Drosophila melanogaster: one gene and its partners. The protein of the gene in region 1 purifies or fractionates together with the protein of each later gene. This does not show direct contact. Each region holds a gene or a part of one and is shown on either strand. Other genes may lie near its edges. The genes, in order: Drep1, Strica and CG5174.

Evidence for each region.
Region 2: the proteins of Drep1 (region 1) and Strica purify together in Drosophila melanogaster (affinity purification with mass spectrometry, with the first as the bait; one large-scale study listed by BioGRID). This does not show direct contact.
Region 3: the proteins of Drep1 (region 1) and CG5174 purify together in Drosophila melanogaster (affinity purification with mass spectrometry, with the first as the bait; one large-scale study listed by BioGRID). This does not show direct contact.

The regions. Positions count from the first base shown.
Region 1 is NT_033778.4:12,043,019-12,050,659, reverse strand, and holds Drep1 (DNA fragmentation factor-related protein 1), read right to left. Parts: upstream 6,049-7,641; 5' UTR 5,797-6,048; coding exon 5,752-5,796; intron 2,685-5,751; coding exon 2,469-2,684; intron 2,186-2,468; coding exon 1,914-2,185; intron 1,856-1,913; coding exon 1,495-1,855; coding exon of another isoform or gene 1,468-1,494; 3' UTR 488-1,467; downstream 1-487.
Region 2 is NT_033778.4:6,019,771-6,024,990, forward strand, and holds Strica (Ser/Thr-rich caspase), read right to left. Parts: upstream 3,375-5,220; 5' UTR 3,273-3,374; coding exon 2,168-3,272; intron 2,113-2,167; coding exon 1,701-2,112; intron 1,642-1,700; coding exon 1,575-1,641; 3' UTR 541-1,574; downstream 1-540. Other genes in the region: Pngl (PNGase-like), read left to right, coding at 1-245.
Region 3 is NT_033778.4:18,421,283-18,426,770, reverse strand, and holds CG5174 (uncharacterized protein), read right to left. Parts: upstream 3,840-5,488; 5' UTR 3,487-3,839; coding exon 3,036-3,486; intron 2,903-3,035; coding exon of another isoform or gene 2,900-2,902; intron 2,803-2,899; coding exon of another isoform or gene 2,764-2,802; intron 2,645-2,763; coding exon 2,520-2,644; intron 2,446-2,519; coding exon 2,285-2,445; intron 2,165-2,284; coding exon 2,105-2,164; intron 1,900-2,104; coding exon 1,695-1,899; intron 1,432-1,694; coding exon 1,324-1,431; 3' UTR 808-1,323; coding exon of another isoform or gene 766-807; 3' UTR 550-765; downstream 1-549. Other genes in the region: PIG-O (phosphatidylinositol glycan anchor biosynthesis class O), read right to left, coding at 1-42.

The DNA of each region.
Region 1 (7,641 bases):
GAGCAGCCAAGGAATGGGAACCGAAAAAGGGATGTGCTGTGTTAGTAGGGGATATTGAGTATGCAAAGGCCACAGGACGCTGGATTCAATTCATCAAAGCCAGGGCCACGCCCACAAAGAGACCCTTGCTGTGGGGCGCTGTCGTCACGAATTTGGGTCACCCGGGAGCTTTGAACTGTGTTAGTAGGCCATCGCAATCAGCTAGCCAGGACCTGCAAACGTCATGGTGCAGTGACGTCACGAAGGAAGTTGAATGGCAAAAGAGAATGGCGTCGAGTAATGCAATTATATGGCAGCAGCAGGTGTAGGACTCCCACTCTCTTGCTCTCTCGAACTGGAAAAAAGGGAAATGGAAGAAGCGGTGAAGGAAGGGGAAACTCTCTTTTGCCAGCGGAAGAGCAGGATGCAGTCCATACGCCCTGTTGCACACGCTTTGTGCGTTGCGCATACGCCCCGTTTGCCAGTTATGCTAGTTCAATCAACTTTAGTTTAATAATCATTTATTTATTACTTGGTTTCGTGTATATAGTTTGCCTCGGGGTTTTCACTTGCATTTACTGTATGCTTTTCACTATATTTAATAATTGTTCACTGTTTGCATTCGGTTTTAGATTTCGTTTACGTTTACGGTTTCCCTTATTGCTTATTCGAATTGTAGACAGTTACAGTTACCAACTTTGATTGGGCAATTGCAATTTGCGTTATTGTGTTCCATTATTGTTTAATTAGCTAACAATGTTTGCGCTGTCGCTTAAATTCATTTGGCTATGGATTCGGGGGCGGGAAGACGGGGATTCTGGGAGGACAGGGCAGCAGCGCTGGAGGCTTCCATCCGATCTTTCCCGAACCGCTCAAACCACGAAAAAACCTATTACACATAAATTCAGTCAGTCTCAATTGGCCTTTAACGAATGACATTCACAATGGCATTGGTCTAAAAACAATATTTGATGTGCGTTTCCACTCTACCTACTATTCGTAACACAATTTACACGGTAAGCAAATCAACAGTTTCCTGGGACAACTCCATCCAATTGGGGTTCGCTCTGGTTGTGGGATTCTACCTCAAGTATAATACTTATTTCGCTAACCTTTGATTATTATTCATCTAGTACGGCTTGGTGTGACTCGTGTATATGCGGTTAAATACGATTCCGCTGACTGTGATTGCTAAAAGACTTTTCAAATCTGCGCGGGCCTCTTGTTCTCTTGAGCCTCGTGACCCGGTGTTTAAATCTAGTACGTGTATTGTTCGTTAACTTTCATTTGCTCTTAGATACTATGAAGCATTTTCAATGACTTGATTTCGTCTCCGTTTCGTTTTTGCTGATTTCGCAGTGCCTAATTACATGCTACAAATACGATTTATGTTAACCCAATGTTGCAGGACTGATGTCTTCGGTATATCCTTTTGGCTCTTGATTTTGATTGGCGCACCCAGTTGCGTTAGTTTTCCGCCGGCAGACTTTACCTAAGACTGCCCAAAATGGGCAGTCAGATGTCGCCGTTGGCATTTGGATTTCTATTTGGATTGGCATTGGCCTCATTGGCAGCCGCTTCGGCAGCGGAGGATCCCATCGCTCCACTGGCTGTGGCGCAAGTGGTGGTGGCCTCGCCCACCGTAATTGTTATCGTCGTGTTTTGATTGTCGCACTGCACCACCTCGATGGTGCGGGTGTTGCTCGTCGTTGTGGTGCTCATCTGTCCACTCTCCGCCTCGTTCAACTGCCGTCCAATCTCCCGGTCAATGGCCTCCGCATCCTCGGGATAACGTTCCGAGCAGAAAATGGCACCAGCTTTCAATAGCTTCAGCAGATTTAAACGATCCTCGGCATTCCGCTTGGCACACAATGGCCTAAAGTCATGAAATCATGCTACAATTAAGTGGTATATGGGAAAGGAATTAAACTCACCTTCCCGCATCCTTGAGCTGCTCCATAAACTCCTTTCCCGTGATGTCCACCAACGAGTTGGGATCCATGTTGGAGAGTGAGTCCAGATCGGCATCGTTCATCACGGACACGTTGCAGAGGTTGTTCTGCAGCTGGCCCACCAACTGGCGGATGCGAGCCGACTCCGAGTTGTTGGCATCGGTGGTGTCGCCCTCGCCTCCTCCGTTCAGCTCTCCGTTTCCAGTTCCTGCCTCGTTGCCATGTGGAGTGGTTATCGTCACGTAGTGAGTGGGCTATAAACAGAGTGCAGATAGCATTTAATTTAATCTTCCTGGCTTTGGTCCCATGCTCATGGAGCTCTTTCATGGCATTCAAGAAATAATGCAATTAGTCATTATGGCAGATAAAAGGAGGGACACATAAAATGAGCTATCCAATTAAGCGGTGTTCACTTTGAGAAATGAAAATTACACAATCGCAAAACGAATTTATTGAGGTGATTTAAATAAAAAAGGTGCTGATATAATTATTTTTAAGTGCCTGTTTTCCTTTTCCTTTTATTTAAGGGCTACTCACATCGATCCAATGTTCTCCGGGAAAGACGGCCACCAGTTCCGTATTCTCGTCGAGGGTGCGAAAGTACTCCTCATCATCGATCTCCGTGCCGTCGGAGTCCAGGTGGATGGTGGGCAGGTGGTCGCACTTCTCGAACTTCTCCGCCACCTTGCTGCGGATCTCCTCCAGACTGGAGGCGCAGACAGCCTTCTTAATGTTGCGTGTTACGTCCTTGACCTGGCCATAAAAACGCAGAAGGACAGTGCCGGGAAAAGGGAATAATAAACCATTACACGTTTGCAATTACGGAGACAGTAGCAGTTACACATGGCCCCGCTCATCAAATGAATAATAAATTAATGTCAGATGGGAAACAACTGAGGTCCTATAAAATATTCACATCGTCGGCACCCAAAATAAGAAAACGGAAAAACATCGAAATGGGAAAAGTTGTAAATTTTCCTTTAGCTGCACCCTTTTTCTTGAGACAACAACGTGAACGGAATGGAGAAACTATGGAAACTTTCCGCCTGATTTATTCATTATCCTCCCGCTTGCACTTAATTATTCAGTCTGTTTCTCTTTTCAACGCAAACTTTACCCTGTTTTTATAGTTATTTAATTAGGCAATCTTTGAAAATTCCATTAAACAAAGAGAAAAGATAAATAGTAGCGCAAGTTGCTAAATAATAAATACACAACCACATTTCGACGCTGATTGTTTTCCATTCCCCGAAAAATCGCAATGAATAAATGAACGCAATATTTGCGACCACGTCATGTCCTGCTGTCAAATGTCCATTTGCTCTAATTGAGATTTATGGACGGCTTTTTCCCGGTGGGGGATGTCACCACCTTAAAGTGCCTCCCACAGCCCGACGACTTTGTGCATATTTCAGTTGCGAATGCCGAGTTCCATGAGCTCCTCTACTTTTGCTCGAGATCTCGAACGCAGTTTGACATGCACTCTAGCAGCTGCGGTGCAAATATTTGTCGTTTATCTCCCACTCCCCGATTCCCTGGCGTATCCTTTTAAATTTTCTTTTTATTTGACAAGTTATGCATGTCAGCATTCTTCATGCTGCATGCTCCTTCGCGAATGCCATAGGTTAGTGCTGTTCGCCGGTTGCAAGGACGAAGGACGCAAGCCTTTGGCTCTATTAAACTTGCATGCGATGTTAAATGATGCCTCAGCACTAAGGTTAAACGAAACATAAATTAGACCCGTCCAGATGGAGGCTCAAGGAGGCGCAACTTTAAGGGAGCAAGCGGCACGAATGCATTCCACCCAGAATTTATAGCCCCGAAACGTCGGACAGCGTGCAACTCCTTGAGGTCCTTCATGAATATTTGAGAGCACCGTGACTAAATGAAATTGTACTCGAGTTTGCATTTCGAACATTTCATTTTACTCGTGCGCCTAGCTGCTCTATCATCCCAATTCCATTTGCTCAGATAGCGGAGGAGGTCGTCCCTAAATTATCTTATAAATACTTAAAGCCACATAACTTTTGTGCCGCGAAAGCTCCAAATATTAATCATATCATGAATGCGGCGTGTGGGGCTAGAACTTTGTAACAATGAAAACTTTGCCCAACTACTGGCGCATTTGACAAGTGGGAGTCGCGGCAGCATCGAAAACAAAAGCATAGTTTTTGTTCGGAAACTTGTCAAAAGTTTTAGTCGATCGCATTAGTTGATTTTTCAAGTGGCGTCGATTTTTCAAGCGGTCGCAATTCAATTAGCAGTTTATCTAATTACCCGCAAAATTATACAAAGCTTATACAAATCAGAAACAAGATTTATTCGGAAAGTAAACATGTTTCAAAAGTGTTTCAAGTTGTTTCTTGAATGGAAATGCTATTAGGTTATATCATTAAGAGCAAATTTTTGGCACATCGTGGTAAGTAAAACTTTATTTTTTAATATTTAAATATAAGAATAATATTTAAATATTGAAATGAGCAAACACAAATGTTACCTACTTGCTACTGTTTAAGATACAAATTTCCAAACTAGCATCACTACAAGTTCAGGCTAATGTATGTGAAAGTCTAGATGAAATCAGTTAAGTGTTTTTCTAGAAGACCAGTTTATACACAAAAGTGTATGCAAAACGACTTGGGCAAATTGGTAGAGCAGCAGCGAGTTGAGGGCTTATAAATCTCAACTAACTCGAGCTGCTCAGCCATCAGGACCCGAGGGTCCTGGTCCACACATACGTACGTAGATGAACGTGCAACGACCTCCGGCGTCTGGCTCCGTTTTAGGAGCAGCCGAAGGAGACGTGCCAGGAACTCTATCATCTGCATCCAAGATGCGGGCAGAATCCACAAGTCGCAGGACATTTTAATATTTGATGGGCGTAGGCCGCAGATTTTCGAGTCGCTGGGGAAATTAGGCGACAACTTTAAATTGCTTTTGAACTATGCCGCGGCATTATGTAGATTGTTTAATAAATTATTAACAAAATGCCTGAGGCGGGTCGTGGGCGTGGCTGTTGGCTAATTACAGCGACATGTCGGGATGAAAAGTTTTCCCTTTTTAATGGCATTTTCATGGCTGTCATGGTATTTGACAGCTTTTAAGCCGATTTGCGTTTGGTGGTTTTTGAATTAAATATTTTAATAAGGAGCGGCATTTTAATGGATAAAGTGGGGGAGGGAATTCCTGGATGTTATCTCCAGTCATGTTTTACGAAAGTTGTTTTCTGTGTTTCACAGACAATTTAAATAGCTTTGTGGTTTATTGGTTTCCTTTGAGTTGTCAGCTGCATGTACTTCCAGTGGTTTTCTGCAACCTTAAGCACGTTTTTTACATCCCCATAATACTTTAAACAGCTTTCTGCTGTTTAAGCGGCAGATAAACAAATTAAACAGGAAACAATGGCCCAGCAGTCAAGTAAAACAAATGCTAAAGGCAAACAATTCCCAATACTCGAATCAAAAGGCAAATGCAAAGCTAGACAAACATGTAAAAAAAAGGACAAAGAGAAAGAAAGCAACTAAATAGTGTTTTTGAATTTGCAAAGTCAAATTTCAGGCAGTTAATGCTTATTACTGAGCTTTCGGCACTCTCTTAGCTTGAGCTTTTGGCTCTCTTGAGTTCTGAAGTTCAACCCAGTTTCCATAAGAATCCAAAAAAAAAGGAAAAAAAGTAGCGAACGCAGCACGCGGCCAACAACAACAAAGGCGAAAACAACAACGCCCAAAAATGGACATGCCAGGAAAATAATGCATGCACTTAAAATGCAATTGTTCGTCTGCGGCCTTTATTTCCATTTACAATTACAGGGGGAACTCACTTTGAAAGGCTTTTTGGAGTCGCCCGAGTTCGCTGCAGTCTCCATGGCTTTGTTTGCTCCAACTAAATTACTTATTCACTATGCACTTTATTTCCAGGCTTAATTGCTCCACATTAAATGACTTTTCTATAGATTTGATTACTTTTCGCTTGCTTCTTGCACTTGCACTCGGCGTCCGAACAAACAAACTTGGAATTTCCTTCCACAAGCTGCACTTCAAATGGGAATTAACAATATTTTCTCGGCTCCGCAGCGGAGCTTTCGTTGCGATGAGCACCGGTTTTGAAATGAGCGCGTTTTGCTCAAAAGCACTGCCTTTTATACGCAGAGAAAGGGCTTCTAACAGATGTTGAGTTCGAACTGCGAGTGCTCGCTTTTAAATGAATGTTAACTGATAGGTTCAAATAATATTTGTTTTATGTCCTATTGGCCATGTTTCTTTTTAATCATGATAAGTAAACATATTTTTGAAGCCTAACACTTTTTTTTTTTATATTTTTTTTTTTATAAATTATTCCCTGTAGATTTTGGTTATTTAATTAATTAATATTGTATCAATTTTTTGTAAAATAGGTAATAATGTGCTTCTAAAAGAAAACACTAAACAGATTAGAATTTTAAATATATTGAAACATAAAGCTTACAAAGAGAAAACAAACATAGTCAAAAACACGTTCTCTCTCGCTGAATATGTTAACATTTGGCTGTGGCCTAGTCCCTAGAAAACACAAAGAGTTTGCTGGAACAATCCTGGCTGAAAAGTTAAGGTGATTCCAGCAATCTAATCTCTATTTCCATCGGAAGGTGCTTTCGGATTCAATTAGTCCATTGGGAGGGGTTGCGCATTATCAGCCCAATGATATCCGGTGTTGTCAATTCGAAATCCCCTCGCCCGCTTGGAACCCGGCCAAAAGAGCAGTTGGACTACGCTTAACTTTCTACACAAGTGGCCAACACCCATTTAAATCTATATACATCTATTGCCATGCACACATCAACGAACCGTCCAGATAAGAAGAGCAAAAAGCAAACTTTTGACAAATGGCCAAAATACATGAAAGGAAAGCCAAAGCCGGAAGGTGGCCCCAGATTGGGTTCTCATCAGTTTGTGCACGGCGAAAAATAAAGATTCTGTTATGATACTAAAAACTAATAAAAACTATAACTTATTGCATACTTATCAGCGCCTAATTGAGCAAATGGATTCCATAAAGGATAAAGGTATGTAGGTATAAATAGGAATGAGTAGTTTTCTTTTAGTCATACGAATATCAACTAACTTTATATAATTCTCAAAAGTTTTTCCACGTATAAAACGGTACTGAATAGCCCGGAAAAGAGGTGGGCATGCAAGTATGGGGGAGATCAGAGATGGGGCAGCCTTAAATTGTCATCCTAGTGCGCACCATTGGTTCCTCGGATGCTGATGCTGCTTCTGCTGCTGGCAGTTTGCCCCGTTTGCTGTCATTGCACTGCACATAGTAACTTCTACGTGTCCTGCGGAGGAGAAGCAGCAGTGGGTGGTAGCTGTGACTATTTTAAGCGCAGGTCACTCGAAAGGACGCACAAGGACATTGGCTTGTGTGGGTGGCTGTGTCGCCTGCAGTTCGCAGGTCACGTGCATGCACCGCGGTGCATTGACCACGGACACGTTGACACATCGGCCGGAATCTGGGTTGAGCTCCACCTCGAAGCCAGGTGACAGGTAATTGCCTCACGGGCAATCAGGCAATAGGCAATATCGAGGGAAAACAATAAATCAACGCCTGGCGATATTGGTTTTACTAAGAAGCATCAAGCCGCTCGAGAATGTTTAGTTTAACTGAGCCAAAAAACAAAATACACATAAGATAGAGGATTATAAGGACAAAGAGCAAACAAAGAAACAGA
Region 2 (5,220 bases), 6.0 Mb from region 1:
AGACCAATTTAAAGGTTAAGTCTTACAACTTAGTTTTCGAGACAAAAACTTTTGGCGACGGAAAAATCAGCGTGACTGTCGATGCCACCGACGGAAGCGCTTCGGTTGAAAATGCCACTGGATTCAAAATAGTGGCCAAACTTACGGGTGGCAAGGGCGATGTAGCATGGCAACACACACAACTGTTCAGGCAGAGTCTTAATTCAAGAGACTATCCCTTCGATCTGCAAGTGCAACTACATTGAAGTCCTCAAAAAATATTTTGGAGAAATTAAAATGTAATTGTAAATAATATAAACGATTCCCAGTCTGGATGAAAATATAATAATCAAAAATGTATATTAAAAATTAAATAAAGGCACATAGTGTCGCTATATGTAATTATACTTGAAGTTTTAAGGACTAACTTTTATGAAATTTCTATATATATAGAACAAGCGCATGGAAACAGTTAATACAAAATATAAGGTTCTTAGATTTGGGTTGCAGTTAATTAAAATATGAATGACAAATTTAGAAACGACATTTAAACTTTATTTTCTTCTATATGTCAATATTTATTTCATCCGGAATCAAAGCAATAAATAATTTTATTGGTCACAATTGCTGGGACGATTTTTCAAGATTTACATATATAGATGAAAAAAGGCAAGACAATTAAAAAGACTAGATCGACTCGGCTAGTGATCCTGATAAAGAATTCATATACTTTGTATATTTTGCTTACAACTAACGGGTATACAAATAGATATCATATGTAGGTATTCAGCGATTTTCAGAGAACCGCGCAGTGATTTTGCCATTTTACATCACCAAAAAGTCATTCGATTATTGCCTGCCCTTTATGAATATCGGTATATTAAAATTTTTCGAAACATGTTTTTCGCTAATCATCTACAACAAAATGCGCATATATATATGAATCTTAAAATTTGGTTGAAACATCAAAACATTTTTGTGTAGAATATACATATATACAAAACTAATGTTACATATATTCTTTTAGCTGTATGGCATTTATCATTGGTACCATTACACTAAATTAGAGTTAGCAAACGGTCATACCTAATTTATTGGTAAGAATGGGTCATTATATTGGTATTGAGAAAAAATAACTGTTTTTATTTTATAATAACATTAAAACGTTAATTTTTAGTACAATAAAAGTTAAAAAATTTCAAGGGCACACGGTTTAACATTTTACATGCGATGACCGTTCTTAAAAAATCGACCAAAATAAAAAAAAGTTTTTCATATTTTCAGGTTCTGGTTACCGAAAATAGTTTTCCTTTAACAATTCCGACCCCAGACTAATTTTTTTTTAATATTTAGCCTCACACTTTTACCGCCTCTTTAGTTTGTGAGCTACCTCTCGATTGTTATATTAAGCTAAGATCGGACAACCATCGCAAATTTTCATTTCTTCGTATATATCACCTTCTTCTGGTACGCTTCGTCACTACGTGGACCAGACGCTATGTGCTATATACTATGTACATACATCTATCCATGTGCTATTTACATATATATTAATTTTGATATTTAATGGCGTGTCTTAGATTTAAGATCTATGGTCAAATATAATCTCCAAAAACGTACTTAGAGGTAAGAGTGCTAGTGACAGATGGAATTTGGCGGTCTCTAAAATAAAGTTTAATAATTATTTATGGGGTCATATATAAACACGTGGAGTTTCTTACTTGGATTGCATTTTAACCACTTGACGCACATTCATCATTATGGTGTCGATGTCTGAAGTCTTCCCCGATCGATTAAGAGCTTCACACAGTGTCTGAATAAAAGGAGTTCCGTCCTCCGTGCGAAAAGATACAAATCCCTCGTACGTGCTATAGCACTTGAGGATTTCATTTGGAGACCCATTGGGCTGCGCGGCATCGGTCATAAAGCCCCCTAGTTGGCAGTCGCCCTTGCAGGCCTGAACGAAAATCAGCTTGGGCTTGTCCTTAAGCGTCCTATTGCGCAAAATGGGAAAAACAACGTCGTCGTCCAGGGAGTAGTCGTCATCCTTTGCTGCGATCTGGTCGTGGCGCGTTCCATGACTGAGGATCACGAGGACCAGAGCGCTTTTGTCCTCAAAGTCCTTGGTTTGCACTGCAAAATTTAAAAATTAATTGATTAAGCCGAGAAACTACACTTCTCCTCTTACACATTCGCACTGTTTTTTTAATGGTGACCAGGGTTGCATCTGTAATAACTTCCACTTTGCACTTCAGCTGCTCAAAGGTGGCGCGCAAGACCTTCACATCCTGGGCACTTCCCTTTCGGAATTCGTTCTTGTTATCGAACCGCTCGTGGTTGAAGATATACACCCGGGCGGGCTTGAGTTTGTTCTTGGTCAGGCTTGATTTCGAGATACCCAGGCTCGTTGAAATCGTGCCCTGGGCATCTTGGGATTGCGCGACGGCAGTGACCTTCGGCTTGGTGCCTCCTGACGATCCCAGACTAATGAAGGGCTTGGGAGTTGCGGTAGAACTGAGCGGCTTGTCAACTTGCTTGGGAGCGGACTTGAAAATGCTTGAAATGGAGGATACAGATGATGATGGTTTGGGCGGACTCGTAATGGAGCTGGCACTGGAACTGGACGTGGAGCTAGTGGTTTTTGGTGTCTTGATGTTGGGAGATGTGCAAGTTATGGCCATGCTTGGCTTCTGACGATAAGGTGAGACGTAGCTGGATGTTGAGCTGTTTGCAGTGGACGCAAATGACGCCCAGGTCGCCTTAGGTCGACTTCCCTTGAGGTCCACTCTATGAGTCTCCAGGTGCTGGGTGACCGTGCGCCCATTCTTTTGGGTCACTGTCGTCTGCTCGGTCTTGACTAAGGTGCTTGACCGTTTGCCAGCATTGCTTGCCGTGGCTTTGAAGGGTTGTGTGGAGCGAAAGGAGACGCCGTTCAAACTGGGCGGTCGGGAGCGCGAGGAGGTGGTCGTCGTAGTGGTGGTGGTGGAGCCAATGGGTCCCTCACCGCCCATCTTTATCTTTGCGAAGAGAGCCTCTAACTCCGCCTGACTAGGCGTGCGTCGCGTTGTCGTCTCCGTGATCAGCGCCCGCTGCGTGTGCGTCACCGTCTGGCGGGTGGTGAGAAAGGTAACCGTCTGCTTGTTGTTGTCCGTTATGGTCGAGTTTTGCACGGCTGTGTTGGTCGTCTCCGTGGCTGCACTCGTAGTCTGGACTCGTGTGCGCGGGTCCTGCGCCACCAGTTCCTGGCTGGGCTGACTGCGATCCGTCTCGCTTTTCTTGCTCCACCAACCCATAATGACTCCGGTTTGCGTGTGTTGAGCTTTCTGTCTTAAACTGGCTTTCACGCACTGCGCTGTAGTTGCTTTGTGAAGCTCGACGGTTCTCGCTGAACTGAAAGACTCGGAGAGAATTCAGAATAAAAACGCTCCCAAGATAAGGAGGCTTACTCATCGCAAGCCTCCGCCGCACCACTGGAGTGAAACTGTGGCGCTCCGTGGTGGCCGTTATCTGCACTCCGACGTGGGTGATAACCATATCTCCCAATCATATCCAAAAACCTTTAATGCCTTTATGATCTTTCCTGTTGTCAACAAAGCGAACGAGTTTAGCTCACCAACACGTGTATATGGTTCGCTCTTACTCTCTCTTTTATTCTGAACAATTTCTTCTGGTGACCGATCCATTCATACATGCAACATACATATATATATATGTATATATAAACAAATGAATGATAATTTTAAATATTATTTATTTTGTATTTATGTTTTCGTCAAGGGTTATGTATTTATTTGTTACCCATACGTAATTGGGAAGCCATCTCAAGTATTCACACCGCTGATTTTAACAATTAGCAATTCCAAGAATCATATCGAACACAGGCAATGACCCAATCAGCTGTTTAAAACAAAGCAAAAAAGTTTTTTTTACATATGTACATATGTTAAGATATCTGGAACTATCAAAACAAGGAGGTTGAGATTAAGCACATAGATACTATACAAATACATATTCGTACAGCAAGTTTGTTGTCCCGTTGCCACGCCTACTTTAACGCCCACAATCCACCCAAAACTGACTCGACCAAACCTGTCACGTCATCACTTTTGGGAAATGATTTGTTTACTTTTTACCTTATCAATTTTAAACGTACATATACATATATATGAAGGTATATTTATTGTTTTTAAATTTATCAGATGAGTAACGGGCATCTGACAGCGCTCACATATGGCATTTTCTCTTTTTTTTTAATGTACATATGTATATGTCTGAATGTATATGTATGAATTCCATTAAACATATGGACTAATACTAAAAATCATTATTATACCCGTTACTCGTAGAGTAAAAGGGTAGACTAGATTCTTTGAAAAGTATGTAATATGTAAAAGGAAGCGTTTCCGACCAATGTCCGTCTTTCCGGCCGTATGAACGTCAAGATCCCAGAACCTATGAAAGCTGGAAGGTTGGATACAGATTCTAGAGACCCATGTTGCCACGCCCAATCTAACGCCCACAAACCCCATAAAACTGCCACGATCACACTTTTGCAAAATGTTTTGATATTTTTGTATATATATATATTATATTATATTTGTATATATTTGTATTATTTTTTCTAAATTTCTTTCGATTTGCCAAAAAATTTTTGGCACCCCCACTCTTACCCCTATAAACCGCCCAAAACTGCTTATTTTAAACAGTTTTTAAATTTTTTCTTATTTTATTCACCAATATTTATCGATATCCCAGAAAAATTAAAAAATTTCGTTCGCATTCAGAGTGTGAATTTCACAAAAGCTGAGTACATGTTACTGATAGCCGGGGAAGTCGACTATAACATTCTCTCTTGTTTAATAATTAATTTACATACATATGGATATGGGAAGTTGTGGTATGATATTGAGGTAAACTCATATGAAAACTAACAAATAATTTTCGTTTAAAAACTTCTGATATCAAACGAAAACACCGGCTTAACGAGGTATCAAGTACATTTATCTGGAAAAATGATTTTTAATTTAACTAAGAGGGCATTTAAGAAAGGAAAATTCAAAAAGTAGTAGTTGTAAATGATCTCAAAGAATTCCTAGTTTCGTTGTTTTTGATCATAACGCCATCTATCTATATCAAGCTAGCTTTCTTATTTGTTAGCTTAAATTAAATAATTTGCTGAAAATTGAGTGAATGCGTTGTTCTTATTAATTTTTTTGTTACTCATTTTTTAAGTTCAACTGT
Region 3 (5,488 bases), 6.4 Mb from region 1:
GAAGGCCAGCCAAATAAGCACGAACAAGTACGTCAAGTTCATCTTTCGGCTGCGATTAATTAACTAACTAGGCACACAAATGCTTAATGAGTAATAAACTTTTTAGCATTTAGAACAATGCTGGTGTAGGCGAATACTTTATGCGGCTGGCCAGCCGCTTTCAGTTGTATAAAACTATGTAATTTAATTGCACTTTACTTCGGAGTGGTTGATTAGGTTTCCGGCATCACGATGCGTTCTGTTTGCTCGCTGTTTTCATTTAAAATTCCTCATATCTAAAGATTTTCTTGTGGCCTGAAGAAAAAATTGAGAAGTATGCAAGAACCCTCTATGGCGTTGCCACCTCGTCAAAGCAAACAGCTGTTTTACGTTGATCCCTGGGTTAAATCAGAGTTGTCAACTTTATTATAATTTTTGGCGGGATATTTAAAGCTGACAGATGAAATTGGAAATTAACTTTTTTTAATTCATTAGCTGTAGTTTAAGTTTGAAAAGGTAATCACACATATACTCCCAAACATCATTTATCAAAAAGACATCGCTATTTTTATGGGGCAAAAATTTTTGCATTTATTCAAAGATTTCATACACATATAGCAAATTTGATCAGCATTAGCAACAAATTGGGTGCGATTTCGTCTCTTTCTCAATCTTCAGCAGTACGGACTACATCCACTTAAGTTTACCAATGGATTTTCGTTATTTGCACGCAAGCTCTGATCGTAACACAAATATTTAGTACTAAATAAATTTGGAATTGGCTTTTCAACGGATTAGGGAACGCCATCTAACCACGGAACTCAACGCCTAGAGAAGAAATAAAAGCGTAAAACAAATGTATATTCACTTTAACCGCAATGCATGATTTTCTAATGTTTTTACTAAGTATTAGAAACATTTGGGAATGACATCGGGTGGACCATCCAATGTGGTTTAGTCTTTAAACGTACACTTAGATTGATAGTTATATAAACGAATGCAGCAAGCCCTTGGATCTTCGATCCTCCGTGGCTTTAAATTTAAACAAGTCATGCAATTTGATGGTGTCTCCAAGGCAAATACAAATAGATGCATATAATATGTGCTCCCATTGGCAAATTTTTGACGCGCAGATTTTAGTTATATTAAGTATTATATAAACCGTATCGACACAGGTGTACATATGATTTCTGGTTAAATTAATTCTGATCCTGTTGTTAGTGCGCAGACACGACAATTCGCTTTAGTTAAATAAGTTAATAGAGTGGGTGCGTGGGTCTGTTTGTATGTAGTATAGGTTGCTCCACATTATCGACGCGCTTGGCCTTGCAGTTGCCCCGAAATCTATTTCGGGAGTGAGTCTGTGGGTGAATTCAGACCCGAGGATGTGTTATTCTCGTCCAGGGCATCTGGGAAACTGGACACCGAACCCGAGCGGGATGTCACCTTGGTCTACAATAGAACAGAAAACCGAACAGATTGTAGTAGAGGTGCAGTAGCATTTGCGCAAGGAGTAGTTCGTTGTGTAAGCAAGCAAATCAACCGAAGTATCCCAATTCAGAGTGCGTTTATAGTGGGTGAGCAAGTGTGAAAGATGTGTGGTTAGTGTTAGTTAGTTGGTTAGTTAGTGGCTAGTTAGTTAGACGGGAACCAAAACAGAATCGCAACAGTATGAGAGATGTGTAAAGACAGATATATAATAAAATAGTAGTTACCGCATGAGATTGGCACATAAAATTGTTGTGTTCATAGCTTACTTTAACGTTCTCGTAGGCAGAGCCCACCGAAGCCTCGATAGAACGCATCGATTCGGAGTTTTTCATTTGCGACAGTTTCGACGAAATGCCACTGGTGATGCTGCCAAACACCGAGGCGGTCTTCTCGCCCGTGGACTTTAGCACCGACTCAGTGCGTTGGTATCTAGGGGAGAGTACAAATAAATCCAACATTAGTTACTCATCTCGATAGTTTTCCTCCATACACAAAGTGGGCAAACATAGGTGCGCTTTAGTTACAAACAGGCGAGAGTTGGTTATTGTGTTAAAGGAAGTGGCGTGAAACACGGCGTTAGTCCGGTAACTCCAAAAGTACCCAATTAAAAATCAGCCTGAACCCAATTACTTACAGTGGTGCCTCGTACACCGTTTTAGTAAACGTGCCCACGCTCTGCTCCACCGATTGGTAACTAAATAAATACACGTTATAGCGTTTCAACAGGAGTTTGAAACAAAAAGCATGGTTAGAAATTAAAACTGTCTAGTCGGGTTAATTGCCCAGCAGAACTGCGAACGGTTCATAGACTTACACAGTGCTCTCCTTGAGGTTCTTAAGGCCCTGGTTCACGTCGTCCGTCACCTCCTTCCAGACGGTGATGCCCAGCTTGCGCTTGAGATCGGAGGCATGGCGCGTCTTGGAGGCTAGGACAGTTCGCAGCGTATTGATCTCTTCCTCAACGCGGGCGAGCTCCTGGAAATTGAAGTAGAAGTTAGCGTTCGAGCTGAGTAATCAAATTATGATCGTAAAACTGAAAACTTCCTTACCTGACTCCACTCAGCCCGACGCTGCTCCTTCTCCTCGACGGAAAGCGCAGCGAACTCGGCGGCAATTTCTGCGGATGCCACAGAATTAGCTGGAGATGCTGGCTCCGACAGGTTGGCTGTATTATCTGAACATGAAATAAAAAGCCATTAAATATATGCCAATCCAAGGGAACATTAAAACTTGGGGTGCTGTGTGGGGACTGTAGCTTAATTTCAATGTTGTCGGCGGGTAGTGTTTAAGTACCTCCTTTGAAAGCAACTTCCTCAAAGACTTTGTCATAGGCTGAATACACCGAATTTAGTTGTATATACGAGTATGTACAATTTGCAAAGACATGAGTTGGTTAATTGGTTAGATCTGGGTTTTTGTTAATACTCACAAACTGACGAGGCGAAAGGCAGGCAAAGGAGAAAGAAACAGAGAAGTTAGTCTGGTTAGTCATGGTTGAAAGTGGAAAAGCGAATGCCACAGAACAAAGACCCGACCTAAGCCCACCAACCCCCCTCCCCACTGACCGAATTTGGTACCTCTACTTCTATGCCCAATGTTGAGGAATCTCTTGTAGTTATCACTGTTTGATATTTTGGCCAGATACGGTTTGGAGAAGTCTATGAACGTGACCTTAACGTCGCGCATGGTTCGCTTGGCAAAGAACTTCAAGCGGAAGCGTTTGGCCATCGAAGACGATGGCGCTTGATTGGCCAACTTGGCGGCAATGAAGTCCGCCTCCACTGCCTGCAATTCCAGGCTGTTGGTGTAGTCCGAATCCACATCGTAGAATATCTGGTCTAGCGTCAGATTACGCAAATATAGCTCAGCCTCGCTCTCCTCCTGCCCATCGCCATACCAGTCCAAGACGGCATCATTGGTTTCCAGATCCAGTGACGGTGTGCTGGTGAGATCATCAATGCTTGGCAGATAGGGGTCTTCAATGAACTCCAGGCTATTCGGTTCCGATTCGCTCATTCTGTGGCAATAGCGGCGCTCTCTTTCATCTTTGGCAGCAACTTTCTATTTTGAACGTGGCAGCTGCTGGCGCAGGAGGCTCATATTGTCTTGGCCCAATCCTAAGCACATATCACGTTTCCACGGTCAGCAGCGAGCACATTTTTCTTGGCCCTGCTTTCAGCCACTTCGATCGTTCTTTGCTGAGCTTTCAGTTCTTGGCCCGCCGCGTTCCACATAAATTCCTCTCCCCATGCGATCGCAGCTGGTTTGTGGTGGTTCTTCTGTTTCTGTTTCGATTTCAGTTTCGTTTTCGCTTTCGATTCTGGGCCTGCTCCATCCACGCTCGTCTACAGCCAAATGCCAACTGACTCGATCTCGGCTTAGAAATTGGTAGATGTGGATTGGTTGGCCGCTTGGCTCCGCTTGTTGATGATTCGTGTCAGCACGAAGACGAGAAATGCCACAAGAAGAGCGCTAAACAAAAGGGGCAGCAACAGGCAGCAGCAGCAGTAGCAACCAGCAAGACTACAGTAGAGCTTGACTAAAAGTTACAGCTACGTAAATACATTAGCTCTATAGTAACCAACTTTACACTTCATTTAATTTATAAATTAATAAGCATGGGAAAGTTATAAAGCTAATAATATTTGCATAAATAATAAGTACGCTTTGATAAGACACTAGATATACATATATGTGTCTAATTTAATTGCAGCTAAAATGATTATTTTATCAGTCAAAAAGCTTTGATAAACCGAGACTTCAATTTATTAATTGAATAATATTCTTCTTTAATTGTACCTTTTAAATTTATTAAGTAAACAATTGTGAGGAGATGAACAACTTTAAAAATTGAAAAACCCTATGATAAGGAACTTTAAATATAACTATAAATAAAGTTTTTCTTTGCAAAAACGTACTGTACATAACTGTATCGCTTTGTTGGAGCCAAACAAAAAAAGGAAAATAATTCATAATTTAGCTTCTTGCTAAATAGCAATTACCAGTTTGGATTTTTCCGATTTTTCCCAGCTTCCTCCGACCATCAAGCACTGTATGAGCACAAAGCCACTGTGCCACATTGATGGACCCTATATCTACACTATATATATATATATATATATATGTGAGCTAGTTCTGGTTTGCTGCGAGTTCTTGCTGCTCAGAAGTGCCTGTTGTTGTGGCAGGCCCAATCCCATCGAGAAGTCAACAAGTGGAAGCCAATTACTAAGTGGTTTCGGTGGGGGAACAGAGCTCCGAACAATTATAGTGGCACCATGGTGATAAGCTCAGTGGGAGGAGGCGTTTTCAGATGATATGCATATCATAGCCGCCCTGCGGATGTTGCGCTTCTAAAAGCCACGTATGCATGGACGTCGGAAACCGAGAATGCAATACTTACACCACAAAGAACCTGACCCCCGCCCACCAAACGGATTGCCATCGATGGCATGTCGCAGAACTTCCACGGTAATCCGAATAGTTGGAAAGCCTTTCACCCTACGCAAATCGGAACCATGACTCATCTGCTGATTCCCAGCGCACCAAGGTTAACTCATTGTGTATTCTAAGTCCCCCAAAACTTTTGGCAAAGCCGCTGCTGAATCAGAGTCCTACAATAGTAATGATACCCGAATTACCCGAAAGGTCTTAGGTGTCCCAATCGCCCAGGTCACAAGAGCCCACGGAAACATGTGCCGCTGCATTGGAATTGCAATGATGCACTGCGTCCGTATGCCACACACTTACGGTCCTCCATTACGGCGTTGTCTCCGGAAGTCTGCGGCAATTTTGTTAACTATTTCGATGCCAACTGCACGCACTTGTCGCAAAACTTTCAAGTTGAAAATAATTTTTTGTTTCGCTTGCTTAGCTATCGATGGTTGCTAAAATAAATCGAAGGAATGTCACTATCGATAGCAGCTTTCGGTCAAAAATTCCATCTCTCGTGCACATAACTACACACAAAAAATTCACAAAATCGCTTAAGTAAATACGTAATGCGTAATAAACGTTCAAA